4 linked regions of the Saccharomyces cerevisiae S288C genome follow. The gene in region 2 interacts genetically with the main gene of each other region. Each region holds a gene or a part of one and is shown on either strand. Other genes may lie near its edges.

The links.
Region 1: mutations in HGH1 (region 2) and YDJ1 together harm fitness more than expected from each alone (negative genetic interaction), as found in Saccharomyces cerevisiae (2 studies listed by BioGRID).
Region 3: mutations in HGH1 (region 2) and HSC82 impair growth when combined (synthetic growth defect), as found in Saccharomyces cerevisiae (3 studies listed by BioGRID, with this or other methods).
Region 4: mutations in HGH1 (region 2) and COG3 together harm fitness more than expected from each alone (negative genetic interaction), as found in Saccharomyces cerevisiae (3 studies listed by BioGRID).

What each region holds. Positions count from the first base shown.
Region 1 is NC_001146.8:501,152-509,038, reverse strand, and holds YDJ1 (type I HSP40 co-chaperone YDJ1), read left to right. Parts: upstream 1-1,941; coding exon 1,942-3,171; downstream 3,172-7,887. Other genes in the region: tRNA 1-methyladenosine methyltransferase subunit GCD10, read left to right, coding at 1-263; MTQ1 (S-adenosylmethionine-dependent methyltransferase), read right to left, coding at 337-1,281; AQR1 (Aqr1p), read right to left, coding at 3,555-5,315; putative glucosidase SUN4, read right to left, coding at 6,262-7,524. UniProt on the Saccharomyces cerevisiae protein: Probably involved in mitochondrial protein import. Is also required for efficient translocation of pre-pro-alpha-factor. Involved in heme regulation of HAP1, as a component of the high-molecular-weight (HMC) complex.
Region 2 is NC_001139.9:868,004-873,211, reverse strand, and holds HGH1 (Hgh1p), read left to right. Parts: upstream 1-1,795; coding exon 1,796-2,980; downstream 2,981-5,208. Other genes in the region: protein kinase BUB1, read left to right, coding at 1-1,168; transcription factor IIF subunit TFG1, read right to left, coding at 3,231-5,208.
Region 3 is NC_001145.3:630,109-638,726, forward strand, and holds HSC82 (Hsp90 family chaperone HSC82), read left to right. Parts: upstream 1-2,246; coding exon 2,247-4,364; downstream 4,365-8,618. Other genes in the region: RTP1 (Rtp1p), read left to right, coding at 1-1,862; YMR187C (uncharacterized protein), read right to left, coding at 4,581-5,876; mitochondrial 37S ribosomal protein uS17m MRPS17, read right to left, coding at 6,183-6,896; GCV2 (glycine decarboxylase subunit P), read left to right, coding at 7,392-8,618. UniProt on the Saccharomyces cerevisiae protein: Molecular chaperone that promotes the maturation, structural maintenance and proper regulation of specific target proteins involved in cell cycle control and signal transduction such as CNA2. Undergoes a functional cycle that is linked to its ATPase activity.
Region 4 is NC_001137.3:480,764-489,400, forward strand, and holds COG3 (Golgi transport complex subunit COG3), read left to right. Parts: upstream 1-4,024; coding exon 4,025-6,430; downstream 6,431-8,637. Other genes in the region: GTPase-activating protein BEM2, read right to left, coding at 1-2,085; MYG1 (Myg1p), read right to left, coding at 2,562-3,578; YER158C (uncharacterized protein), read right to left, coding at 8,094-8,637. UniProt on the Saccharomyces cerevisiae protein: Acts as a component of the peripheral membrane COG complex that is involved in intra-Golgi protein trafficking.

The sequences.
Region 1 (7,887 bases), on a different chromosome or scaffold from region 2:
TCAAAGAAACTTTGTTGGAATTAGCTCATACTTTATATTCAGACCTCAGGTTTTTAGCACCATCAATTTTGGAAACTAGATGTAGGCCGTACCAAAGTATAAGGGGTAAGCTACACCCTCTGATGACCATGAAAGGTGGTGGTGGATATCTAATGTGGTGTCACAGAGTCATCCCTGCTCCTGAACCTGTATCGGAAAACGCGACTGCAGCTGACTCCAGTGAAAAGCTTGCTGAACATGGAGCTAAGAAACAAAAAATATAAATGTCCACAGAGTGTTCCGTTTGATAACTTCCAACAAAAAAACCTGAGAATATATATATTTACATTTATATACTTAGTTGCAATTAGCTTTGTGCCCACTGAGTGCGGTTGCTAAATGTCTTATAGTCCCAAAGGATGCAAAAATCTGGTGTAGTATTCGCCCTTTGGGAGTGGCCTTAAACCCATATACGACTCTTGCTTTCCCATTCGAGTCATATTTCAAACCAATAGACCAAATACGGCTGAGATATGAATCTTCTTTAATGCGCCTCTCCACGTAATTAAACTGTTCAACGTCTCCAATCTCATAAAAGAAGGAGTCTGTCTTCGGCAGCCAATAATTTACTAGATTTATATAGCATTCAAGCTCACCCACTAGCGCTAGCCTTGGTTCGAACAGCTTTACGGAAGTTTTAACATCTCTATTGAAGTCACGCTTTCGAATGTAGGGGGGGTTACCGGTTAATATATCTATATGGGATGGATATTCATCGCTAGCTTTTGAGGACAATATATTATGTTGCACGAGCTTACCACCACTCACCTTGTTTTTCAGCATATTTTCTTTAACCAACTTAATTGCTCTTGTTGACACGTCAATGGCAGTGAACGTGCAATTTGCTATACCATGACTCAAAGCGAGAGCAATACACCCTGTTCCTGTAAACGTATCACAAATATGCAGTGGTATAGTATGCCTTGAAAGCATAGAGTTGTTTAGAGCTCTTATTATGGCCATCACCCATTCCTCGGTTTCCCATCTTGGTATAAGAACACCAGGCTTGCAAACTATGTCCAAGGCCCCAAACGGTTGCGATCTTAAGATGTACTGCAATGGGACGTGTTTGTATCTCTGTAAGCAAGCCCAGCGGATTGATTTATCCGGAGGCAGCTCTTCGGTGAGCCATTTGTACTCGAGTTTCGCTTGCTCGAGAGTCCTACATTCTGGAAGCAAAAGATGCAAACCAGGTCGTATTCTCGAAGCTTTTCTTATCAATGATGTAGATATTCGAGGCATATGTTCTTTCTAACCGTTTCTTTTTCGTTCCTACCATTCAACTATCGCTCCTTGTCTACGAGTTAAGGGGAAGAGAGTGCAGAGTTTCTAAAAGCACTTGAAAACGTAACAAGACATTGACCGTAGAGAGTCGGCAAAATAAAGTCGTTTATACACGTTTGAGTTGTGTGTATTCAACTATGGAATACATTGTTATAATGAGTATGTTGGTATAAAATAAGATGTGAAGTCGCTGGTTTGAGCACGTGATATACACCTGACCTATAATATTTCGTACAAAATTATAGAAGGCCATCGAAAAAATAGAAAATTTTTTCATTTCTTTTTCAAGAAATGAAAAGGCAATAGAGCATCGGCAGGTATGGAAAGTATTTAACTTGCAGATCAATCCACGTACTTATAAAACGTGTAAAAACTTGCTCTACGTTTATATGTTGGTTAGGTAGTTCTTGTTTGATAAGGTGTGTAGTTCGTTTTTATAAATCAAAGTCACAAAAAGTCCTTTTCCCCATATATATTAGGCCCGAACAAGCGTCTTATTTGATAACTGTTACGTATTTATTTTTTTGTTATTTGTTACCATATCTTTTGATAGAACATAATTAAAAATTATCCAAACTGAATTCTACATCTTCCAACAACAATAATAAACGTCCAAAGATGGTTAAAGAAACTAAGTTTTACGATATTCTAGGTGTTCCAGTAACTGCCACTGATGTCGAAATTAAGAAAGCTTATAGAAAATGCGCCTTAAAATACCATCCAGATAAGAATCCAAGTGAGGAAGCTGCAGAAAAGTTCAAAGAAGCTTCAGCAGCCTATGAAATTTTATCAGATCCTGAAAAGAGAGATATATATGACCAATTTGGTGAAGATGGTCTAAGTGGTGCTGGTGGCGCTGGCGGATTCCCAGGTGGTGGATTCGGTTTTGGTGACGATATCTTTTCCCAATTCTTTGGTGCTGGTGGCGCACAAAGACCAAGAGGTCCCCAAAGAGGTAAAGATATCAAGCATGAAATTTCTGCCTCACTTGAAGAATTATATAAGGGTAGGACAGCTAAGTTAGCCCTTAACAAACAGATCCTATGTAAAGAATGTGAAGGTCGTGGTGGTAAGAAAGGCGCCGTCAAGAAGTGTACCAGCTGTAATGGTCAAGGTATTAAATTTGTAACAAGACAAATGGGTCCAATGATCCAAAGATTCCAAACAGAGTGTGATGTCTGTCACGGTACTGGTGATATCATTGATCCTAAGGATCGTTGTAAATCTTGTAACGGTAAGAAAGTTGAAAACGAAAGGAAGATCCTAGAAGTCCATGTCGAACCAGGTATGAAAGATGGTCAAAGAATCGTTTTCAAAGGTGAAGCTGACCAAGCCCCAGATGTCATTCCAGGTGATGTTGTCTTCATAGTTTCTGAGAGACCACACAAGAGCTTCAAGAGAGATGGTGATGATTTAGTATATGAGGCTGAAATTGATCTATTGACTGCTATCGCTGGTGGTGAATTTGCATTGGAACATGTTTCTGGTGATTGGTTAAAGGTCGGTATTGTTCCAGGTGAAGTTATTGCCCCAGGTATGCGTAAGGTCATCGAAGGTAAAGGTATGCCAATTCCAAAATACGGTGGCTATGGTAATTTAATCATCAAATTTACTATCAAGTTCCCAGAAAACCATTTCACATCAGAAGAAAACTTGAAGAAGTTAGAAGAAATTTTGCCTCCAAGAATTGTCCCAGCCATTCCAAAGAAAGCTACTGTGGACGAATGTGTACTCGCAGACTTTGACCCAGCCAAATACAACAGAACACGGGCCTCCAGGGGTGGTGCAAACTATGATTCCGATGAAGAAGAACAAGGTGGCGAAGGTGTTCAATGTGCATCTCAATGATTTTCTTGATAAAAAAAGATCAACTTATTCACGATTCATTTATTCATCATACTTTTCACTTCAAAATACAGTTTTGTAGCTATACATATGTAAAGTAATAATGGTAGAAAATGCAGTTTACCAAAAAAAGTTCTAATTATGACGAAATCTTAAGGAAAGAGTAAAGCAGGGATTATATGCTGAAATTTCCACTGTATATATTTGCCACAGAAAACCATTTTTTGTATTAGGTATATTTAGTGCACCTTTAACATGTCAATAATTCAACGGAAAATTAACGAAGTAAATAATACATTAATTAGGAAAAATTTACATGAAAGTCTATAAGCTGTTTATAAAAAAAATATGCAGGGATAAGTGTCTATCAAATTGAAGAATGCCAATTAATTATGATTATCGTTCTGGTCTCTTTTTGTTCCCTTTTTGGCTTTGACTGCCAAGGTGTTTAACCAAGACTGTCTTTGTTGTTTCAATAATCTATCCTCCCTCCACTTCATACCATATTTCATCGGAATAAACATTAAGAAGTTGAAGAAAAATACCAGCGCACATAAAAATGTAAAAGTACCACCTACAGTCATCGCAGCTTTCATTTTGGCAAAGCAACCCATGAAGATGGTACTCAAACTGCACCTAACAAAGTTGAAACAACTACTTGCTGTAGATGATTTCGTTGGGTACAAATCGACCAATAACGTAGTTGATGTTGATAATGTACTCATAGCACAGTATGAACAGACAAATGAAGTAATTAAAATAGATTCGATCCTCCAGCCCTTATCTATACTCCAACCAAATAAAAGATAGGCTACGACGGCCAAGAAATTTTGGGGCAGAAGACAAACTAAACGGACTTTGAACATATTAATCTCTGCGTCTTGTGGAATCAACCCGTTAGCTTTGTCTTGCTCGAATTTCTTGATCTTTCTCTTGAAATACATGTCAATAATTCTACCTGTGAAGAAGGAACCCATTAAACCGCCAATACCACCGGGTAGATAACACACACCAATAATGACCAAATGATAGTTGTATGGCGCCACTGATAAACCGGATGAAATAGAGGAAAGCATTAACGTCCACATAGCAAATAAGAGCCCTGATGGAAATAAAGACAGAATAATTTCTGGCAATACAAGGATCTTCCCGGCGGATGACAAATCTAGTTTCGGAATGGTGGGATCTAATGTCTCATAATCAGGATTATCGTACTTGAATCTCCTTCTAACTGGGCCCAGTAGGAAAATCGGCGCTCTGTTGATGAATCTTTTAGGCTTAATGGAAAGGTTACCTGCAATGGTTCGCTTTGTTTCTGGCAAAATAAGAAAGGCAATTAGAAAACAACTTCCACAACCAATGGTCAAAAACCAAAAGATAGCTCTCCAATCCCACCTTGCAGTCAGGACGGCACCAATAAGACTACCAAAACATTGACCCAGTAAAACAAACCCTGAGGTGGCGCCAACAAATGTACCTCTTTCATGCTTCAAAGTGAAGTCCCCGACAACACCAGAACTGATTGCAATTGTGGGGGAAATACCAATACTCTGAATACACCTCAAGAAGATAATAACACCGTATGATGGAGCACATGCTAGCCCGATGGATGCAATAACGTATATCAGCATACCTGCTAAAATTATAGGTCTCCGTCCAAAGCAATCCGCCAGACCACCGCTAACTGTGGGAGATATACCTTGAAACAACAGATACACAACCACAGTAACGTTAACCATATTTTCATCCACATTAAATTGCTTTTCCAACTGCCTCAAAGCGGGATAATAGATCGGTGATCCCAATGAAGACCAAAAGCCACACATTGTTAGAATTGCAACCATTCCCCACTTCTGACCGTAACTTAGTAAAGTATATGGCGCTTTTGTCTCTGCAGTTATCTGTTGGGTTGGATCAACTTTATCATCACTGGAGTGAGAAGAAGTCTCAGAGTCTAAATCGCCTTCTATTTCCCTTGTGGTAGTCTTGGATAGAGTCCCGTGACTGTTGATATAAGCGCCTTCGAAATTTAGTTTTTCACTTTTCGTTTGACCATCTGGTTTTGTGTATTCTCTCGTCAGATGCTGCTCATTGTGAGTAGGATACATCTCAATATCTTCTGTGTATATACTGTTACTTCGTGACATTGCTGATTCGACTTTCTGAATCTAGCTTGGATTCTCAAAAAAATAAATTTATCTCCGTATAAATGCTAACTTTGTAAGCCTGGAAAAATCCATAATTTTATATAGAACGACAATATTAGCAATAAAAAGTTAGTAAAAAGTGTATAACCTTGACAGTGTTAAGCGTTATATAATATTGAGTATGATCAACTGTATCCTCGATGAGGGCAGAGAAGTTTCTTTTTCCTTGCCCTAAGGTGCCCGCAACTTCCCGGTGACGAGAAAAAGAAACGTTGGAACGGCTTCTCGTCTGAAGAAAACAATGCAGGCCGGGCATTTCACGGAACAAAAACGGTTCCATCAAGCCGGGTGATTCATAAATTATCCGATACCGGAACAAATCGGTGAGAGATTTTCCGATGGAGGACGGGTAACGAGCCGGTATTTACCGATCTATGGAGTTTCCGAGTCATTACGGGTCCTTTTGTTTTCGTGTATGCTCCCTTCCCCGTAAGAAGTATACGTAGGAAGTGCGGTCTGCGCTGGACAGTATAAAACGGAAACAGGAGTCATCGAGGGGCTCCGGATTTTTTTTTCTTTTTTTAGCATTTAGCCTAATTGCACATTGTGAATAGATTGCCGTAGTAGAAAAAAGCCTTAGGAGTAGATAGCATACGGCAACAGAACTACAAAAAAAAAAAAAAGAGATTTGATGTCTTTTTTTTTTTTTTGGGTGGTTTTTAGGACAATGAAAGAAGAGGTGTGCGATGTATGTAGGTTTTCAAATGTCTTTAATATTACAAAATAATTTATGTCTGGAAGAATGATAAATAGAAACAAAGTAAAAAAAAATTGATATTAATCCGGCGTGGGTTTTAGTGTATGTTAAACAGACAATAAAATGGACGGGCAGAAAAGAATGGGGTAATAATACAATCAACTTACTCAACTGTTGATGCGCCTAAGTTTAGTTGTATAGAACAAACTTAGCTTTGCCAGCAGTAACGGAAACGGTACAACCGTCAGAGCCACCGCTGAAGCTACCGTTTTCATAGATACATTCACCGTTGACTGTAGAAGAGTCATCAGCGGCGACAATTTTGACATTGAAATTCAATGCGTTACCGTTGTTTGGGTTGGGAATCAAAGAAAGGTAGGCGACACCATCAGAAGAACCAGCGCCAAAGTTCAATGGAGCCCAATTACCGACGCCTGAACTTGAAGAACCCCAAACACAAGCATCTTCGACAGAAATACCGGCATTGTTAACGTAGTATTGCGCGGATGTCTTCAATCCTTGCCAAGTGTAGTAGGTGTCCTGATCAACGACAGTCAAGGGTAAAGAGTCACCTGCTTGCACATATGTAGGAATCACCATGTTTTCGGTACCCGGGTAATCGGTCCTGCAGATAGCAACATCGTTGCTCAATTCAGAGACGACGTAAGCGGCATCAACGCCCCATTCGCATAAATAGTCAGTATCTGTATTTGAACGGTACAGGTAGCCGTCCTTACATAGCAAACCACCAATGGATCTGCCGTCAGATGGTTGGTCAGAAGGCCATTGTGTCTTGGACATACCTGGTTGGCAAGCGTATGAGCAGTAAGACCCTTCTTTACAAGAGCCACCCGTAGAAGTGTCAGTATTTTCAACACCAGACCAGCCACCTTCATCTAACCAGCTGATGGGGATAACACCTTGACCAGATGGAAATTGGCCGCAAGGAATGGTACCGTCTTCAAATTTTTCATATGGACCTGAAAAGTCAGCCAAATCACCGTAGATACTTCCAGTTGCACTGGAAGCTGCTGAAGATGTGGAAGCTGACCCAGATGTGGAAATAGGCACAGAGGATTCGCTAGTAGAAGTTTCTGAAGATGTCAGAGTTGTTTGAGCCGAAGACGAGGTGGTAGCGATTTGTTCAGTACTCTCAGAAGAAGAAGCAACTTTGGAAGAAGACTTGGTGACCGAAGATTCGGAAATCAGAGTAGTAGTGGAAGCAACTGTAGAAGAGGCTTCAGTTGAGGTTGGAGTGACGGTCTGACCATTTTTATCGACAGTGACTGTTTCGTAAACGTATGTAACTGCAACGGCCCTCTTATGCTGGTGTGAACCATGAGCAGTAGTAGTACATCCTGTGTCAATATCAGCCGCATACGGCAAAGCGGAAACGATTGTGCTATAACCGATCAATGAAGCCGCGGTAAGAGTGGTGGCGGACAGTTTCATTTTATCAAATTACTAAAATAAATTTGGGATGGGTTAGTAAATAAAATCATTGCGAAAAGAGTAGGATTGCAAATTTTCTAAGATTAGTGCTAATTGAATCAATCAATATTGTTTTAGTTTCTACAATGGCTATATCTCGAGAAGTCAGAAACTTATTTTCGCGCCGTAAATCCGACGGCCAAAAAAGCCAAAAAGAAGTTGTGCACGGAAAAATAACGGGCATGTAAAAATTTGCTTTATTCTCGAAAAATGACGATGCACCGAAGCGAAAAAAGCACAGCAATTTCGTAATCAGTGGAATAATTTGCAAACTCAAAATATAGTAACATGAAAGGTCTTATCATTAAATTAAACATACGACTT
Region 2 (5,208 bases):
AAAAAATCAACCGCCTGTCATTATTGAAAACCCACTTAGTAATAATTTAAGAGCGAAGTTTTTATCCGAAATTTCGCCCCCATTATTCCAATATAACACCTTTTATAACTACAACCAAGAATTGAAAATGAGTTCTCTATTGAAAAAAATCCATAGGGTATCCCGCAACGAAAACAAGAACCCAATTGTTGACTTCAAGAAGACGGGTGATTTATATTGTATACGCGGAGAATTAGGCGAAGGAGGTTATGCCACTGTATATCTAGCAGAATCTAGTCAAGGACATCTGCGAGCGTTGAAAGTAGAAAAACCTGCAAGTGTATGGGAATATTACATAATGAGCCAAGTGGAGTTTAGGTTGAGGAAGAGCACAATATTAAAGTCAATAATCAACGCTAGTGCTTTACACTTGTTCCTTGATGAGAGCTACCTTGTTTTAAACTACGCCAGTCAAGGTACGGTCTTGGATTTAATTAATTTACAACGGGAAAAGGCAATTGACGGCAACGGAATAATGGATGAATATTTGTGCATGTTTATCACTGTCGAGCTAATGAAAGTACTTGAAAAGATACATGAAGTGGGAATAATACATGGCGATTTGAAACCAGATAACTGCATGATCAGATTAGAAAAACCAGGCGAACCCCTGGGTGCTCATTATATGCGCAATGGAGAGGATGGCTGGGAAAACAAGGGAATCTATTTAATAGATTTCGGTAGATCATTTGATATGACACTGTTACCACCTGGAACGAAATTCAAATCAAATTGGAAGGCTGATCAGCAAGATTGCTGGGAAATGCGTGCGGGCAAGCCATGGAGTTATGAAGCGGATTATTATGGATTAGCAGGCGTCATACATTCGATGCTTTTTGGAAAATTCATAGAAACAATCCAGCTGCAGAATGGACGATGCAAATTGAAGAACCCATTCAAAAGGTATTGGAAAAAAGAAATATGGGGCGTTATATTTGATTTACTGTTAAATAGCGGTCAAGCTTCCAATCAAGCTTTGCCGATGACTGAAAAGATTGTTGAAATAAGGAATTTGATAGAAAGCCATCTGGAACAGCACGCAGAAAATCACTTAAGAAACGTAATTCTAAGCATTGAAGAGGAGTTATCACATTTTCAATATAAGGGGAAACCGTCAAGGAGATTTTAGTGAATAAATATGCCTTCATCTCCCGCATAGGTGACTTTTTGGTGTCCTGCCAGATTCCATAGCAATGACAACACAACTTCAGGTAGAGCCAATTGTAACATTAATATATAAAAGGTAATATAAAACTAGCAGGTTCTCAGGTTGAGTAAATATATTCTTTTTTAATCTTGACATCTGTCACTTATGGAAAAACAAGTACCAAAAAAATGGCGATAATGTTATGATATTATTTTACTGAAGCTCTTCATACATCGAGTATGTAGCAATTGCTCCACTTGTTACCGCGAAAACTAACAAGAATAAAAAATAGATGTCTTGATTCGCAATTCGCAGTATATTTCATCTAATAGCTGCAGAGCCAATTGGGATGTTACTGGTAGTGCTACCTTTCGATGTGTTCTGTTATCACCCCAGACGATAATTATTATTGTAGATTTTTCCCTATTCTTCCTCGAAGGGCTTTTTCAAATTTTTTTTTTTTTCATTTTTTCATATTGAGCTCTCTCATCTCATCCATCAATTTATGACGCACCTACTCTAATAACGACAAGTTTATTCTTCTTAAAACGGTATCAATTTAATTTAAAAATTAAAAATAGCTCAAAAAAATCAACAAAAAATTGAGTGATGACTTCACAATTGAATGAATTAGTGGAATTTCTGCATTCACCACAACCTGCCGTAAGACAGATTGCCATTGATAATCTAGTTGGATTTAGTGCTGGTCCCACTTCAAAAGTTTTCAAAAATGATAGCTACAGACCCATTAAGGATATAATAAAAATGATCATGGATCCAGAACACGGCACCCGTGTTATTATTCAGCAAGGTGTCACTATATTGGTCAATTTATCTGAAGACAAGTTAGTAAGAAATATTATATTGAGCGATGACAAGAAGTTCTTAAAATTTTTGGTTTGGAAAATTGTCGATTTAACCAATCCAAATGCCGATATAATGTGTATCTTATTAAGCAACTTAGCCAAGGATGACGGCATTCTTGCTGTTCTGAATATCAAAAGGAATTCAAGCGGTGAGGAGGTCGATGATGGTTTGAAGTTAGCAGCTTTAAATAAAGAAGTTTTCAAAAGTTTGAGAGCCATGGATTGTTTAATGGATTGCTTTGTTAAGGGTTATGATAAAAAATTAACAAAATATGCCAGTTTCAATTATTTAGCCTTTTTTTTTGCGGATATCTCGAGGTTTAAATTGGGCAGGATGTATTTTATTGAAGAGCAGGAATACGATGGGGTTGTTCCTATTTCAAAATTGCTAGTATTTACCGAAAAATATGATGCAAAGGTAAGAAGAGAAGGTGTCGCTTCCACAATTAAAAATTCCCTATTTGATTCTGAAACTCATGAAAGGTTACTCAAAGATGAAAAAATAAACTTGTTGCCTTACATCCTGCTACCTATTGCTAGTGCTAAAGATTCTGAAATTGATGAGGAAGATATGTTCAATTTACCAGATGAACTTCAATTATTACCAGAGGACAAGGAAAGAGACCCGATTCCTGCAATTATATGCTGTCATTTAGAAAGTATTCTTTTGCTATGTACAACGCATGCTGGAAGAGAATACTTAAGAGACAAGTCCGTTTATCCACTAGTGAGGGAGCTGCATAAAAACGTTGAGAATGAAGATATTGGTGAATTATGTTACAGAATTGTTAATATGTTAATGAGAGGCGAGCCAGGTGCGGGAGCAGTGGAAGAGATGCCATCAAAGAATGCGGAAGAGGAAGAAGAGGAGGAGAGTGAAGAAGAAGAAGATGACGACGAAGAAGATGAAATTGTCGAAGTGGCCTAGGTCACTTTCAAGGACAGTTCACATAGCATAGAATTGTATAATACAGAAATAACAATATATTAGAGTTTAGTAGAATTCTGAGTCTTTTCTCAAAAAAAAGGCAGAAAAAAAGACTAGATAAAAAAGTATACTTACTGCAACTAAAATGACAGTATAATGTAACTACATAAGATTAAATGGAAAGAAAAAGGAAAGAATGAAAAGAACGAAAACTAAATAACCTATTAAGTACATAACATTATAAACTAACCTACTCTTTCTTTAATTCCATGTGGTCATTGCCAACCTTTCGACACAATTTTTTTACAATGGCAAACATTAGCTTTTTATTCTCTGCGCCAGGATATTTTCTTCTGATGAACTTTCCAAACTCTTTGATATTGACTTTGCCATCACCAATAGCCTCGATGATATCTTTTTCTGTTATTGTAGGCGCTGGAGTTTCTTCCCTTTCTGCCACTGTAGAATTCAAGCCTTCCTCTTGTTTGATTGGCGAAGGCACTGTATTCGATGCATTATTACTACTATCTACAGCTTTTGTCGTCTGTGGATTCCATTCTCCCTCTGGGAAGCTTTTCAGTATTTTCTTATCCCCCTTCAAGATAATGACACAGTTTTTAATACTTTTCACCCTCAAAGTTGGCTCTTTATGCACATGCGCATTTGTAGCTTTCTTTTGCTGTTTCTTTGGAGAAGATCTCTTGGATTTGGATAGAGTGTCCGAATCTTCTTCCTTTTTAACGGGCGATTCATTCTCTTTGTTTTCAATATCGGATTCAGATAAGTATGGGTTGATCTCATTTTCATCCGATGAGTATAGTGCTGCAAGTTCTGTCTTTTGTAATGCCTTCTTAATTCTTTCACCATCCTCATCAATCTTCTTTTCCCCAAATAACTCATCTTCTTCGTTTTCGGAAGGAGCTTCTTCATCACGAAGCCCCATCGCATTAGCTTGCAGCATCTCCTTCTTGATTCTTTGTTCTGATTCTTTATTTTCTTGTTCATTACCATCTATAATAGGTGCCTCCTCATCATCGGCAAACTCTTCATCATAATCTAACTCTACTTCTGAATTGTCATCACGATCATCTTCATCCATAGCTTGTTGATCAGCGACGGCTTTAAGCTTTCTTCTTGTTCTGTCATATCTAGTTGTAGTTGTACCTATATTATCCAAATGCTTCATCAACCAACGTGGCACTTCACCACTTTTTTTGTCCATTCTTTTTTCTGCTTCGTCAATGGTCAAAGTAGCATATTTATTTCTTGCGGTAAACTTATAAACCTTATCAGCAGGAATCATGGTAAAACTTCCATCATCTTCTACACTTAACAAGACATAAGAATCTGAGTTACCTGCTTCATAAGAACCCACCCATGTATTGTACCCATCAAAATCTTCCATAACCCATGGATAAAATTCCTCAAATCTCAGCTTTTTGGCGTTCTCATCAAGAACTTTTAATTGACGAGTTTTCCTTCTCAAATTTCCTCGTTTGGCCCTACCGCCTCCATCTGGTGCCACATCTGCTAGTGGATCCATAGTTCCTTCTTCAAATTCCGGTTCGTTAGTCACTTCTTTTCCGTCGTACTTGACCATTCCAACTTTAGTAGGGTCTTCAGCTGGGCCTGCATCCTCTAGTTTTGTCACTAACGGCCTTCCGTTAGCTAGATTCGCTGTAGATGCATTGCCATCCAAACCGTTAGCTGCACTAGTTGAACCATTTGACAGTCCATTACTTTCAACGGCGGATACAGTAGTAGGACTAGCAGGAGGGACAGAAGAGCCAGTTACAGTAGGAATGGAGGAGTTCACACCGTTGGCCGTGTTGTCTTTAGTAACTGAATCAACAGTAGGTGTCTGAGACCCATCTTTAACAGTATTATTGAGCGAGACCGTTCCTGATTTATTCATACCACCCGAGTTAGGAGTACTTCTTTCTTGCTCTGCTTTTTTTTTATACTCAGAAATTTCTTTTTGCCTTTGAACAATTTCTGCTCTTGTTAGCTGAAACTGCAAGTTTCTCGTATCCTTCCTATGCAGTCTTACGGGAAGATGGAAGTCTGTTACAGGGTTTATCTTTTTTTTACTCTGAAACTTCAAAAGATGTGTCCTCATGTTTTCTAAATCCTCCTTTGGAATAGCTCTTAAGGGAAATTCATTATATTCATTAGGATCTTCGTCCTTTACTTTAACATTGCTCCTGCCAGCATCGGCCTCGACACCG
Region 3 (8,618 bases), on a different chromosome or scaffold from region 2:
ATCATACAGCAAAGGAACTGAACGATGTTATAAACGTTCTTATATCTTTATCCAAAAATTCTTCATCGGATTTGCTGAATGATTTAGTTACTAGTTGCCCTGATGAAGACGGTACTACGCCTGGACAGTTCTTTTTATATGTATGGATATATGCTCTTTTTTTGAAGAAAAACCAAAAACTAGACCCATTAGAAATAAACAAATTGTCTATTTCAGATAATAAAAGCACAGACAGCATACATTTTCCAGAGCAATCTTCCTCAAAGTATTACGAGGTTGTATTATCATTATTAAAATCTCTAATAGTCATAACAGAAAATTTTCAATATCTAAATGTACTGAGCCTTAACTTACTGAATTTTGAGCACGAGAAATGGAAGTATTTAATTGATCTTGATACTCAGCTACCCTACATATCGGTTAAAAACACAGATATGGCAGAGTTGTTTTTCGAAAAAGGATCCAAAAACTCTCAAATTTCTGAGTTTCTTCAAGATATGGACCTTTCGATAGAATTATTTATGGAATTTTTAGTGCTGCTAAATGATGAGGAACAATCAAAGACTTTATTTTTAGATATTCTGAAAAGATGGGTCCATCATACAAAAAAAAGTGAAAAAAGATCTTCCGATAATCATAGCGGGATGCCAAGCGTTACAGATAACGCGTTAATACTCATGGACTTGAAACTTTTGGAATGTATGAACAACCGATTTAAAACCAAGATTGTTAATAAACCTAAGGACGTTCTTATTGTTATTGATCAATTGATAGATGTTGTTCAGGAAAAAGATGAAACAATACAGGAAGTAGAAGCAGATTCTGACGACGAAGTTGAAGAAGGAGAAGAAACAGAAGAATTGGATCCAAATGAAAATTCTTCCTACAAAATTATCTTGCAGTTATTATCAACCGTCCTTTCAGAATCGTCCAGTAGTATATTATTGCAAAACAGTTATATATTGAAATCCATTTCTAGAAAATTACAATCTTTCAACACTAATGCTTCCGAAATAGATGCATTATTGGCATCAATAGATAATATATTGATTAACGGACATACTACGGAAAGGAACGACAACATAGAAATTGAGATGGATGAGGAAAGGCTTGACAAAGCGATAACTAGTCTACATGATCCTTTAGTGCCCATAAAATCTTATGGTTTAACAGAACTACGTCATCTAGCTGAAAAGAAGTCTCCAGTAATTTCACTGGAAAAGGTGTTGCAAATACATTTAGATTATTTAAAGAATATGGACCCTTTCATTTATCTCAACGTTATTAAAGGACTTACAACGCTATGTGAATTAGAGCCAGAAACCATATTGCCTCTACTTGCAGAATTTTATGCTAACAAAAAAAAGAAAAACAGATTAGATGATGTGCTGAAAGTTGGAGAAGTGTTCATCAATTACATTCAACGTCAGAACGAATTGTTCCAGGGTAAATTGGCTTATCTGATTATAGATACCTGTCTTAGTATTGTGAGGCCAAATGATAGTAAACCATTGGACAATAGATGGCGTATGTCATCCATGTCAATCTTAGGTATGTGCCTTCAAATCAACGCCAGGGGTGTCTCGGATAGAATTCGCGATATGCTGGATTGTGTATTTGGAATATTGCAATTAGAACAACCACAAAATCATTTGAAGGACAAGGATGATTCTTTTTTGATGAGAAGAAGTGCCGTACACTTGATACATGATTTGTTGTACAGTACAGGATTTGATTTACTTCCCTTTGAGTACAACTACGATAAGCTAAAAACACTATTATCTTACGTTCGTGATCAAGATGAAGATTACATGGTTTGTGAACAGATTGACAAGCTTTTAACCGTACTAGATAGTTTATAACCCATTACGCATTTGATTATAATTTGCTTCTTAGGCAAAATTAATATTTACGTTCTTTTATATTCTTTCTTTTTGTATTCATAGAACAGCAGCCATTACCAATAGAAAGTTAAAATAGCCGCCGATGCATTTTATTACCCGCCTTTCTGTTTTCTGGGCACTTTTCTTTCTAGAAGGTGAAAGAACAATTTTTCTCGTTTTCTCGAACTTCCACCAAGCGTTGGGTAATGAGGGAGGAGATTTGTATAAAAAGAGTGGCATGTGAACTGCCTACCGTAAGTGACATGAACACATGCATTATATTTTTTGTGATATATTCTTTCTCTTGTTTTCTTTTTCTTGAAACGCTACAGAACCAATAGAAAAATAGAATCATTCTGAAATATGGCTGGTGAAACTTTTGAATTTCAAGCTGAAATCACTCAGTTGATGAGTTTGATCATCAACACTGTCTATTCTAACAAGGAAATTTTCTTGAGAGAACTGATCTCTAACGCCTCCGATGCTTTAGACAAAATTAGATACCAAGCTTTGTCTGATCCAAAGCAATTGGAAACCGAACCAGATTTGTTCATTAGAATCACCCCAAAACCAGAAGAAAAAGTTTTGGAAATCAGAGATTCTGGTATTGGTATGACCAAGGCTGAATTGATTAACAATTTGGGTACCATTGCTAAGTCTGGTACTAAAGCTTTCATGGAAGCTCTATCTGCTGGTGCCGATGTATCCATGATTGGTCAATTCGGTGTTGGTTTTTACTCTTTATTCTTAGTCGCCGACAGAGTTCAAGTTATTTCCAAGAACAATGAGGACGAACAATATATTTGGGAATCTAATGCCGGTGGTTCTTTCACCGTTACTTTGGACGAAGTTAACGAAAGAATTGGTAGAGGTACCGTCTTGAGATTATTCTTGAAAGATGACCAATTGGAGTACTTGGAAGAAAAGAGAATTAAAGAAGTCATCAAGAGACATTCTGAATTCGTTGCTTACCCTATCCAACTTCTAGTCACCAAGGAAGTCGAAAAGGAAGTTCCAATTCCAGAAGAAGAAAAGAAAGACGAGGAAAAGAAGGATGAAGATGACAAGAAACCAAAATTGGAAGAAGTCGATGAAGAAGAAGAAGAAAAGAAGCCAAAAACCAAAAAAGTTAAAGAAGAGGTTCAAGAATTAGAAGAGTTGAACAAGACTAAGCCATTATGGACTAGAAACCCATCTGATATCACTCAAGAGGAATACAATGCTTTCTATAAGTCTATTTCTAACGACTGGGAAGACCCATTGTACGTTAAGCATTTCTCTGTTGAAGGTCAATTGGAATTTAGAGCTATCTTGTTCATTCCAAAGAGAGCACCATTCGACTTATTTGAGAGTAAGAAGAAGAAGAACAATATCAAGTTGTACGTTCGTCGTGTCTTCATCACTGATGAAGCTGAAGACTTGATTCCAGAGTGGTTATCTTTCGTCAAGGGTGTTGTTGACTCTGAAGATTTACCATTGAATTTGTCCAGAGAAATGTTACAACAAAATAAGATTATGAAGGTTATTAGAAAGAATATTGTCAAGAAATTGATTGAAGCCTTCAACGAAATCGCTGAAGACTCCGAGCAATTTGACAAATTTTACTCTGCCTTCGCTAAGAACATTAAGCTGGGTGTACATGAGGACACTCAAAACAGAGCTGCTTTAGCTAAGTTGCTACGTTACAATTCTACTAAATCTGTCGATGAATTGACTTCCTTGACTGATTACGTTACTAGAATGCCAGAACACCAAAAGAACATCTATTACATCACCGGTGAATCTCTAAAGGCAGTCGAAAAGTCTCCATTCTTGGACGCCTTGAAGGCTAAGAACTTTGAAGTTTTGTTCTTGACCGACCCAATTGATGAATACGCTTTCACTCAATTGAAGGAATTCGAGGGTAAAACTTTGGTTGACATTACTAAAGATTTCGAATTGGAAGAAACAGACGAAGAAAAAGCTGAAAGAGAGAAGGAGATCAAAGAATACGAACCATTGACCAAGGCCTTGAAGGATATCTTGGGTGACCAAGTGGAGAAGGTTGTTGTTTCTTACAAATTGCTAGATGCTCCAGCTGCCATCAGAACTGGTCAATTCGGCTGGTCTGCTAACATGGAAAGAATCATGAAGGCTCAAGCCTTGAGAGACTCTTCCATGTCCTCCTACATGTCTTCCAAGAAGACTTTCGAAATTTCTCCAAAATCTCCAATTATTAAGGAATTGAAAAAGAGAGTTGATGAGGGTGGTGCACAAGATAAGACCGTCAAAGATTTGACTAACTTATTATTCGAGACCGCTTTGTTGACTTCTGGTTTCAGTTTGGAAGAACCAACTTCTTTTGCATCAAGAATAAATAGATTGATTTCTTTAGGTTTGAACATTGATGAGGATGAAGAAACAGAAACCGCTCCAGAAGCTTCTACCGAAGCTCCAGTTGAAGAGGTTCCAGCTGACACCGAGATGGAAGAAGTTGATTAATCTCTTTTTTCGCCTTCATGTTTTATATATTATATAAATTTGTTTACTTATTTTTACTATTTGTAATAATGATTCTGCTTTACGCGCCTTTAAAAAAGTTGGTCTTAATGTAAACATGAACCATAGCACACAATTTAAGACATCAGCTGTCAAATGACCATAAAATTGTCCTACCAGCTGTCCTTAAAGTTTAGTGTACACTTACGAATGACTTATTTACTCACCTTTGCAACTTTGTTCAATAAATTCATTGATCTTTTCAAGTTCCTGACATCTTTTGTAACTGGCATAGAGCTTCAGACTTGACCAGCCTATAGCAGCAGTACCACAACCTATAATATTGAAAATCATTCTAAATTCCGAAGGGGAGCAATTCGGCGTCCATTCAATTTTAAACTTTCTCTGTATCCATAGAAAAGCATTCAATAGAAGACCTCCTGTACATTTACCAACAAAGGGCCATAGTATCTTTTCTGCAAGAATAGCATACCAATTCCGCCTGATAAAAAATTCCTCAGCTGGAACGCTATTACTAGAGTTTTCAAAATTTCCGTGATACAAATACTTACCTCCTTTATTGATCAGCCTCCTGTAAATTAAGTCAACCAATCTTTTAAAGGTAAAATTATAGCAAAATGTAGCCAAGTTAGAATACAAAATTATTTTAGGTAAACCTATACCCTTGTAATATTTGTTTCCAGCAGTTTTTACAATACTGAGATACACCCACTTAAAGAGTATTGCATTAGCACTGACGTTAGAAATGTTGCTAAGATAATGTATGAACCCATATATTATGATCGAGGAGGTTAAAGGAATGCTTAATAAGCCACGTTCAGTTTGCGCATATACGTCCAATGCCTTTGTAGTGCTGATGTTTAACATATTTCGTAGAACATTCTCAGGGAAAAGGCAGCGTAGTTGCCATAATCCAATGTCAAAACTTGTCTTTTCAGGGTTTAAAAGAAATAAACTAGTTATCCCTAATGGTATCACGTATCGTGTAATTTTTTGCCACTGATAAAACAGGGATAGTACAGAAGACTGGATGGTTACTGTAGGTCTTTTTATGAAATTTGTTTTCTTGCATTGAGGACATTCGCCAAATTTCACTAACACATAAGGTGGATGATTATCCCGTTTGGTATAAAGAGACATTAGATTGAACACGTAGTCATTTTGAAACGGTACTGATTTTTGCCCCCAAATGGGACGAGTTTCCCATATTTCTGTAAGAGAGAAAGTCGTCATAAAATCATGGTGCCCATCAACGAGACATTTTAAACAGGTGATTATAGGTAAATCAGCATCCTTTGGTAGGTCCACTGTGTTCGGAAGAAAAAGTTCAACATGCATTTGATAGAGCCATCTTATATAGCAGCGTTTATGAATTTGTAAGTTGCAACCGCACGTGTGCTGTAGCCATGTAGAGTCATATGTGGATTCTTCCAAACATATCCAGCATATGCATCTTTTTTTTATGAGAGATAAAAAAAAATGAGGTGGGGTCATATAAAACTTGGACTATTTCCTTGGAATTTTCTTGTTTGTAAAATCAGAGCAGAGCTCTTTTATTTACTTTTGTTTTTGACGATGGGGACGAGCGATGTACTCACATCTTCGATATCACTTGCCTGAAAATATATAAATGCGTTAAACGATAGAAAATCAAAAACATCGTTCTTTTCACTAGAATATTTTAAAGTCAAAACATAACACTTTACTATTTACGTAACGAAGTCTTGTAGTTGTATATATTTACAGAGTGTAGTGCTTTAGTTGAGAAAATATGACACTCGGCTTTCCTCTTTCTTTTATTTACTGGCTTGGTTGTTGCATATCCATCATGACGTGCTTTCTTAACAAATTTTTTTTGATGTTTTTTTTCAAGGTCAAAGGATCCTCAACACCATGATCCTTCAAAAATTGATCACATTTTAGATCATTCGACAACAATTCGGATAATCGCGTTTGAATACGATCAATGAGACTTCTTTGTTTCTCCAAATTAACCTCCAATCCAGAGATGTCTAACTGTAAAAGTTGCCTCACTGTTTCTTGTGAAAAATCTTGAATGCCGTACCTTTGTTTAATCTCCAATAACTCTTTCGGCGTTGACCCGCTAGATAAAGCATCTTGGATGGTCCTAATATCACGTAAAAGGGTTGTTTTTTCATTTAGTTTATTCTCCCTCACTGATCTTTTATCCAAAAATTCTTTTGCCTTTTGGGCTTCTTCTTTTGCAACGCTTAACTGAGCTTCTGATTCGTATAATGCAAATTGTTGACCCTTGTTTCTAATAATTTCTGCAATGGCAAAAAACTTCCTCTTTGAAAGCGGCCTCGTCGCTTCTATCCTTACTAAATCACCCTCCCTTGATATTTCACCTTCATCATGCACTAAATAATCTCTTCTATGAAATAACTCCTTGTTGATTTTCTTATTAAAGACTTTTGTTTCTACACGTACTTTAACCGTCTTTTGCATCTTCCCTTGGGAGACGACCAAGCCTAAAAAATTTTGGCGAGCCATTACAGTTTAACTGATCTTGATTTGACTTTTGAAATCTCTAACCCGAATTCAACTCCCTGAGTTTACTTCTGTTTGGCCTTATTTGTGGATTTCCTCTAACAGTTTGATGCTCGCATTGGTTTGGCACAATCCCAAATTGCTTCAGAATTCTAATCTTATGAAATAACAATCATGTTACCCGGTTGAATCGTTACCCGACATCTCTGACTCTTCTTGAGGTATAGACTCCTCCTTTTCGGAGTCATGACTCTCAGAGGAGTCATCGAAGTCAGCATTGAGCTGTGAAGGACCTTGATAAGCTAGTCGAAAGATCTCCAACGAATATAAATGGATGTATATATAGCAGGCTCGAGTGGCACAATTTTCTTCTCTTCAAGTTCCAGTGAATTAGTCTTTCTCGTGTGTACCAATCTTACTGTATTGATTGCTGCGCGATCTAACCATCAACTAACCACAGTTTATTGGAAAAACGTTTCCTAATACCAGGAAGATAACATGCTTAGGACAAGAGTGACTGCTCTCCTTTGTAGGGCTACTGTCAGGTCAAGCACCAATTATGTTTCATTAGCGAGGACTAGATCATTCCATTCTCAATCTATTTTGCTCAAAACAGCCGCTACAGACATAACGTCTACACAGTACAGCAGGATTTTCAATCCTGACTTGAAAAACATTGATAGACCGCTAGATACTTTTGCTAGACGTCATTTAGGTCCTTCTCCTAGCGACGTTAAGAAAATGTTAAAAACAATGGGTTATAGCGATTTAAACGCATTTATAGAAGAGCTCGTTCCTCCCAATATTTTGAAGAGAAGACCCTTGAAACTAGAAGCTCCTAGTAAGGGATTCTGTGAACAAGAAATGCTTCAACATCTAGAAAAGATTGCCAATAAGAACCACTATAAAGTTAAAAATTTCATAGGTAAGGGTTACTACGGTACGATTTTACCACCGGTTATACAAAGAAACCTGCTAGAAAGTCCAGAATGGTATACTTCTTATACGCCCTATCAACCCGAAATTTCTCAAGGTAGGCTAGAAGCGCTATTAAACTTTCAAACGGTTGTTTCAGATTTGACTGGTTTGCCTGTGGCGAACGCCTCATTGTTGGATGAGGGTACAGCGGCTGGAGAAGCTATGCTCTTGTCATTCAATATTTCCAGAAAAAAGAAACTAAAATACGTAATAGATAAAAAATTACACCAGCAAACAAAGAGTGTCCTTCACACCAGAGCCAAGCCGTTCAATATTGAAATTATTGAAGTTGACTGTTCGGATATCAAGAAAGCTGTGGATGTTTTAAAGAACCCCGACGTATCTGGTTGTTTGGTTCAATATCCAGCGACAGATGGTTCAATCTTACCGCCTGACTCGATGAAACAGTTATCTGATGCGTTACACTCTCACAAGTCTTTGCTCTCTGTGGCCTCAGATTTAATGGCTTTGACACTTCTAAAACCACCTGCTCATTACGGTGCTGATATCGTCCTGGGTTCCTCTCAACGATTTGGTGTCCCAATGGGTTATGGTGGTCCTCATGCTGCTTTTTTCGCTGTTATTGATAAATTAAACAGAAAAATTCCAGGTAGAATTGTCGGTATCTCTAAAGACCGCTTAGGCAAGACGGCCTTGCGGTTGGCCCTCCAAACAAGAGAACAACATATCAAGCGTGATAAGGCAACTTCAAATATATGTACCGCTCAAGCTTTACTGGCTAATGTT
Region 4 (8,637 bases), on a different chromosome or scaffold from region 2:
TAGCCATGATACCATGTCTCCTAAATGTTCAAATCTACAGCCAATTTGGACCCATTTATCTAATAACTCAGCTCTCACTTTTGGAGTCACTTTTTTACTAAACTCAGGATTTGTTGGAAATAAATGTGATATTAGTAGCCTTCCAAGAAAATGGATATTTTGGTCGTTGTTGAATACCAATGGATTTAACGAGACAATTCTTCGATTAATAAACTTCGAATCATACAGCAGAGAATAGTCAAATTTCGGTGCCCATACTTTATCAAACTTTAAATTGATATGATGAACTTCATCAGCCAATGTTGTAATGTCTAAAGACAGGAAATGACTTGGATCCAATATAATCTCTAATTCATGTGTAGATGATGTTGCCATTGGAAGAGATCGAGTGAATGCGGTAAGTTTCATTAATTCGTTATGTTTATTGGCGATTTTAATTTTCAAATTGTTGGAAATTTCATCGTTATGCAAAGATATAGTATCTAATAAGGAAATTATAGTCTTCAGCATTGGTTCATCCAGCAAAAATCCCGGAAATACATCAAGGATTGTTTTAGCAGTTAAAGCTAATCTTTGAGTCATGGAGTCATCGACAGCAGGGGATATGTTGTAGAATTGTGTGGAATTATTTGTCAATCTTGATTTATTCTTGGTAAAAGAAAGACCGAATTGGTTGAATACCTTTAGAAACTTAATGAAATGATCTAGTAATGGAAACATCAATAACAGATTAATAACAGCTCTATGTGTCTTAGATAATGATTTCTCATTAGGTACGTCCGATTGCTTTGGACCGGGGTAAAATAAGACTGTGTGACATAAACTTTCTATTGTGCCTGATATAATTTTACCATCACTGTCTTGTCTTAAATCTGGGTGCGGGTAAACTTCAGATAAATACTTCAGGTCCAGTGTAATAGGTTCACCCATTTGGCCAAATGATTGCTTTTGGTGCAGAGCTTCCGCTTGTGCTTGGTTGTTTGTTTGTTGTTTTTTCTGTTGATGGTTTTCATTTGCTATACTACTATTTGAAGCTGGTAAAGTTGGATCAAAAAACTTAATGTTACTATTCAAACCACTTTTGTAAAGGTTGAGAACGCAACCTTTCAATTGAGCCCTATAAAGACGGTAATCAGGTACTAGCATTTGAGGATCTATAGCCATGCTGCTTCTTGCTGAGGCCACATCATTGCCACTGTTAGTGGCCGTAGTACTACTGCTGTCATCATTTTTTAAAGACGAACCGTCGTTCCCATAAAACCTGCTTTCCCTGTTTCTAGAATACGCATCATTACGGAGATTCTGAGAGGAGGACGAAGAGGAAGAGGAAGGGGCTGTCATTGAGCTATTATAGTTTGTAGCAACAGTCTGGCCATGGGACTTATTAACCCATCCAGTCTTAAAAACAGTTGTATCATAGTTTTCAGAGTTTAAGTGGATAACATTTCTTTGCTTTTGCTCGTTATCGTTGTTATTATTGCTATTGTTATTATTAGTGCCGCTACTGTTACTGATACCTGAAGTGTTCAACGATTTCTCTAGCGTAGTTCCAGTGCTACATCGAGACTGAGGAGGTGATAAAGACGAGGAACGTGAAGGCAACAATGAGTCTTTCGAATGGGCACTCTTCTTGTACGCAATGGGAGTCTCATCCTGGGCATTGGACTTCTGGCTAGAAGAATTGCTTATTTCATCTTCGGAGCAGACAGACGGAGAATCGTCTTTTAGCGTAGAGGCTATGCTTCTAGAAGATCTGGTGTTAGTATCCGAATGATACATCCCCAAGTTCACCTGACTGGAACTAGTGGATGTGTACTGCTTGGAGGGTGGAAATACGGAGCTTTTTCTCTTATCTCTGTTGTTGTCTTCCCCTCTGTGGTGACTGTGTCCCTGGCCATGGTGATGGTGGGAATGCATGTATGGAGAAGCACCGCTTGTCGAGTTTCGAATAGTTTGAGAGGATGATGACGGCGACGACGACGATGCTGTAGACGCAGTAGTTGTCTTATGAGACGTGGAAGTTGAGCTTGAACTAGCACTGGCCGTTGAAGATTTCCTGTTCTTAGACCAGAGAAGACCTTTCATTAGACTCCTGCTTCGTTATTTGTTTTTTTTGTGTCTATCCAGAAAAGGCACGACGACCGTGTGTTCTTTTAAACTGAAACGTTTGCTTGTTTGTTCTGTTGGAAAAAATGGGACTGATCTGCAGTCTCCTAACCAAAGAGGGAAAAAAAAGAAAGAAAATTGCGTATAGCGGGAACGGGAGAATACGAAATCTGTATATTAAAAATGAAAAAGAATGTTTGAGTTAGCAGACAGTACCAGTGGCTGCAACGTAGCTTGCTTCTTTTGTTTTTGTTTTTTGTGCAACAAGAGCCGTCTGATATCTTGTGTTCTCAGGTCATTTTCAAGAGCGTGTTTCACCGAGGGGAATATGTTTCAGGATTCGCGGCGGGAAGATTTTTGCTTGCATTAAAGATTTACTTACTATACAGAATAAATAGTGGAATTGTTAAATATTATTAAATAGATAAGGGACCTGACTGAGCGCTCGCTCCCGACTAGGCCAAAGACATCTTAGCCAGCTCATATACAGCCTCTTTGGACTTGGCACCTCCAATGAAACCTGCTGCATGAATGAAGATACATCCTGGCACACCGCTCTTGGTGCTCAGCTCTTCGTCTCTGAGGCCTCTTAATGGCTCCGGCAAACCTCTCCTAAACTGGAAGGAGGTGGAGTTGATTGGTACAGTAGATACCCTCCAGGCACCAGAAGAGTCTGTGAAGAGAACAAACTCGATTTGCTTTTCAATGTTCTTCTCTCTTTCCAGCTCGTATAGATGCTCCTTCCATGGACAGAATTGGGGCAAGACAATGATTTTGCCACTCTTATCAACATCCATTCTTTCATCAATGGCTTGCGCCACAAGGGCCTTGGCTGGCAACCACGATTGACCGTAGCCTCTTACCAATGTGACAAAGACCCCACCGATAAACTCACTTGCGCGAGCAAAGCATCTGTCAAAAGACTCATCGGAAGTGTCTTCGTTCCAGTTAGGATTCATACCTGAAATAATCCCGGGAATGCTGATGGCGTTATCCCTGAAATTCGGTTCCAAGTTGGAATCCTTAGGAATCGTGTACTTGCTAATACCGTTGTCGTTTGCATCCAGTGCCTCGACAAATTGTTTGTATACCTTGTCATAGAGCAGATCTAAATCAGAGCTGCTAACCTTGTTGTTCAAAATTGTTTTGATAATGTCACGACCGTAGTGTTTGAAGATCAGACCAGCACTTGAGAGCTTAGTCTTGTATTTCTCGTTGAAAGTTTCGAAAAATCCACGCTGGTGGTGGTCAAAAAATTTCACGCCGTCATACTGAGCTCCTACATCCACTAGAATGTCACTAGCCTCCCAGTCCTTGGGATTTCTTGATCTAACCAACTTAGCATCTTTAAATTCGGGTAGTAGCCTTAACATGTATACCGCCAACGACTCGTCCGCGTGAAAAGATCCGGAATGCGTGCATATTTGTTTGGACATTTTTGAATTTAGCTTTACTCTTTTTACGCTATTCATGCAGACTTTTTGGGCTGGGCTCTTCAATTCCACAGCTTTTCGATAGTATTAACACATCATTACTTTCTACGTTGACAGAAAATTTTCGTGATTTGCCGTTCCCATCGCTCGAAAAGAAAGTGAAAAACTGAAAAAAATAATAGAGATTTATCAATGAATACAGTAATCCAAAGACGAGAGAAGAGCAGGAAAATTCGTACTTATATTGCAACTTAATGGTGGGCTCAGATTTTTCGATGCTCTGCCTCGTAACTCTAAGTATCAGCTGCGGATGGATCATAAGTAGTATTAATATAGAATATAGAGGCGCAAATTGAGGTTACCCTGTATAACGGCAGTCGTTGCGTCCATTGTTATGTAAAGTCTTGGCTTTATAGACACACAATAAATACTCCCAGCATGAATTGTTTTACCCAATATTGCACGAATTATCGACACATCCAAAGATGGCGAGAAGTAGAAAGAATTCATTGGTTCGAGATATTGCGTCTCATCCGACTATACCAGAATCTCAGACCATAGTGGGTTTACTGGACGATTCGTACCTTTTTGATAAGCTAAAAAAGCTATCTTTGGCTGTGGAAAATTCTGACAGTCTGCAAAGAACTGATGTCTCAGAAGGTTGTTCAGAGGTTAATGGTTCTGAAGCTACGACTTCTGCGGATGTAAAAAAGACAAACAAGTATTTGTATTATACTACCTATTTGGACCAGTTAAACATTAAGATAGACGAGTATAAAGTTGTTCTGGATCAAACACGCCAGGTTAACGATCAATTGGATAGTTCCATCAAGAAATTTCGGAAAATCTCTCAGGATACTGGAGCTTTCATTGAGGAAACGAAGACGATCTATGAAAAGCAGTCTAAATTAAGCAATCTAACTGAGTCAATCCCTAAAGCTCTCCATTATTTTGAAGTTTTAGACCCTATAATGCGTCGCTTGAACCATGCCACTTCTCCCGCTATTGTTAAGAAGAGCTCCTTTACGACAATGTTGGCGACTATCGACGAGTCTTTACGTTTTTTGGATGAGAATAGTGACCTCAAGGATGCGGCAGCGTACAGAATCAAGTTCAAGCAATGCTTGATCAGAGCCTGTGAATTGATATCTCACTTTTTAACGAATCTGTTGAAACAAACAAATCAAGAAATTTTGGATAAAACCAAAAACAAAAATTCGTTAACTGGGTTGCCGTCGACTACAAGAGACGCCTTCTTGTACAGTAAATTCTATACCATAGCTGATACTTTCAAAATTCAGGTTTCGGAAATTGTTAAGAGAAGCAACGAAAAAGCCTACAACAAGTATCACGATGAACTGAATTCCATTCTTTACGAGTGTTTCAACCACTATTTCCAAACACGTTTAAGACTGCTAACTCCGGTCATTTGGTCACACATTGATGAAATTGTTGTTAAAGATAAGGACCAGGGCTTGGTCAAATTCATTCAAGACGGTAAGGTTTATTTTCAGCAGTTATGCGCGGACGAATACAAACTTTTCGTAGAATTTTTCCCTGAAAAGGAATGTCGTTTCAAGATTAATCAGTGGTTCTTACAGTTATGTGAACCCCTTTATGACTCCATTAGAGTCAGGGTTTTGAAAGAGACAGATATTTGTACTTTGTGTGACTCAGTGACTTTGTTTGCTCCATATTATGAATTTGAAGAAGGTTCAGAAGAATACGTGAAGCAGTTTACCGACATTCAGTATGATAAACTATTCGAACCGATTGTCCAAAAAGTGCAGGCTAGATTAATTTTAAGAGTGCAAATATATGTCCAACAAAATATTTTGAGCTATAGGCCCACTAGGGACGTTTTCATGATTTCAAATAGAAGGAGAAAATCGAAGACCAGCTTACAAGGGGGTAACGAAGATGCTACTACTAGTGATGACAATCCAGATCCCTTGTTAGAATCTTATTTATCTTCTTTCAAGAATAGAAGCATATTGCCCATATCCCCTAATGATGCAGACGATAAAAGTATTGATTCAGAAGAATCTACTGATAAAATTTCACAGTTGCAAACATATTATCCGCCCTTGTTAAAGACTTTGGCTTTATTGTCCAAAATTTATGAAATGATCAATTCTGTGGTATTTGATGATTTAGCTCACCATGTAGTCCACGACTGTATTGTATCCTTGAGAAATGCCTATGATATGGTTATCAAATCTTCAGCGGGAAAATCTGATTTTAACAACTTAGATATTTCATTAGCGTACCTAAAAAATTTGTTGATGTTACGTGATTCCATACAGAACTTTAATATTCAATATACAGTTAATGAAACTTATCTGGATTTTTCTGGTGTTGAGGGGTTTTTCAAATCACTTAAAGAAAATGGTAGAAACGTTTTGAAAAAGACAAAGTCATCTTCAATATTGACCCTGGCAAGAGAGCTGGTTCCAAAAGTTGTAAACAATATGGTGGACGCCCGTACGGAACTCATATCTGAATTGAGAAACGTCATTAAAGATTTTACTGAAAGCACTTCTTTGGAGCTTATTGATGACACTTTAGATATCAATAGTGATGAAGATCTGTTAAGCAAAAACGTAAAATTAAGAGAGAATATAAAGGCCAGATTACCAAGAATATATGAACAGATATTGAACTATATCGATGATCAAGAGATTGTTACTAATTTATTAGACGCTGTGCAAGAGTTAATTACACAATCATATTCCAAATATTATGAAACTATAACTGAATTGGCAGAAAATGGAAAGTTTGCTAAGGATCAAGTCGCAGACGTAATGTACTTGGACGTCTTCACAGATTTTTTTGCCAAAGAGGTGGCGGATCTTTTAAGAAATGGTGATATTGATACCATAACGAAATAAACTTATGTGTAATTTCAACTTTTTCTATAATTTTCATGCATACATAAATCTGATATCGAAATAAAAATTACATTACACGGTAAAAAAAATGTTTTCAAAGCTTTTGATCGTAAGCGATTGAAAAAATATAACGAATACTCCGATACGGGGAGTCGAACCCCGGTCTCCACGGTGAAAGCGTGATGTGATAGCCGTTACACTATATCGGATTAAATTCATGAATTTTTTAGGGCTCCGAATATTGTAAATTCGTTAACAATTCAAGCAACTCATTTAAACAAGTAATCAATAAAGTCAAAATATATAAACAAATTAAGATCGCTGCCAAAGTAGTGATCAACCAAGAGACATTAAGGTTGTTATCTCGTGGACCACAACGCACCTAGATGCATGCAAACATAACAACAGTGGAATTCATTTGTTAGATTTGAATTTGCCTTAACATTGCGGTTCGTAAGTTTTCTAGGTGACAGATACCGGAGAAAGGTGAATCGAACTGTATCGTAATGTACTACTACTTACTCATATTTTTGGTTCAGTGGGATTTATTGACGTTAAGCTCACTTTTATCATCCTAGTTCAATGTAAAGATTTATGAGATTATTTAAAGAAGTTTTCAAAGTATTTGTATGATTAATAGTGTTGGAATAAAAATCAACTATCATCTACTAACTAGTATTTACGTTACTAGTATATTATCATATACGGTGTTAGAAGATGACGCAAATGATGAGAAATAGTCATCTAAATTAGTGGAAGCTGAAACGCAAGGATTGATAATGTAATAGGATCAATGAATATTAACATATAAAACGATGATAATAATATTTATAGAATTGTGTAGAATTGCAGATTCCCTTTTATGGATTCCTAAATCCTAGAGGAGAACTTCTAGTATATCTACATACCTAATATTATAGCCTTAATCACAATGGAATCCCAACAATTACATCAAAATCCACATTCTCTACAAATAGCCCTTCACCTTACATTGCACCACTGGTTGAACAGTCCATTTTTAAATCTCTCCCATTTTGTTATTGGTATAATGGGGCATGTAAACCTGTACGAGATCCCCAGAAATTACGATGTAAATACCTACATTGGTATTACAGTTTTTTATGTGAATTAAAATTTATCATCTTAAGATTATTACCACAGCACTATATTCTGAACATTATTCGAAATGATATAATTCAAATATTCCCTATCAGTATGTCCATAGGCGATAAAAATGTGATTAAGTAATTTTCGAGCCCCCGCGTTAAGCAAGCATCCATCAATAAAAACTTCATTAACACTCTTAGATAATCACTGTAAAAAATTCTAATTATCGGTTAAGGTTATAAAGTTAGGTAGCTGGTAAAAAAGCGATTGATCTCAGACATATCTTTTAAATGTTAAAACTCATCGCTCTTCAGGGAAATCTTACGCGCTATTTTTACAGTCGCGCGGGTCTTAACCATAATTTTTTACCGCTGCAAATATTTGAATGCTATAAGAGCAGATAAAAAATAGATTATAGAAATTAACCTGTTAAAACAATTATCCAAAATGTAGTAAGTATTTATCTTACGTAAAAAGTTCGATGCATATAAAATAAAATAGAATATATAAAGAGATACAACAGAGTCTCAAGAAGGAAAAAAGCTTGATGAACCCGTTATAAGTAGTAATGTGTATACTTAGCGCTATCCTGGTGAACGCGCATTTCCTTTCTTTTGAACTCATTCACCTCCATTTTGATTTCAATATTGGATATATTTTTTGTGGATGAGAGATTATTACCGACAAAAGTAGAAGGATTGGTAATGTCTTGGCTCTTTCCTTTAAAGAAATTATTCAAAAAGGTATTATCACACCTGCAATAGTCCGCGGCGGACCACGTATCGTTTACATAAATCTCATCCGCAAAGCGTAAGGATTTGACGGCATTTTTAGATTTCGATGACCCTGAAGAAGGGGCAGGTGTTGGCGAAGAAGATATGGATTGCATTGGTCCACGGGAAACCAACGATGACGAGGACGAAGAAGAAGGAGCCGGCGATGATATTGAAGAGTTTATGAACGAAGAGTTCGCAGCATCAGTAGTGGTAGAGAGAGAAGATGGCACAGAAGCAGTCAAAGGCAATTTGTTTAAATACACGGTAGACCATTCATCCTGCAAACGCTTTAAGAAAACGGTGCTCTTTTCCTCTGGAGCAATA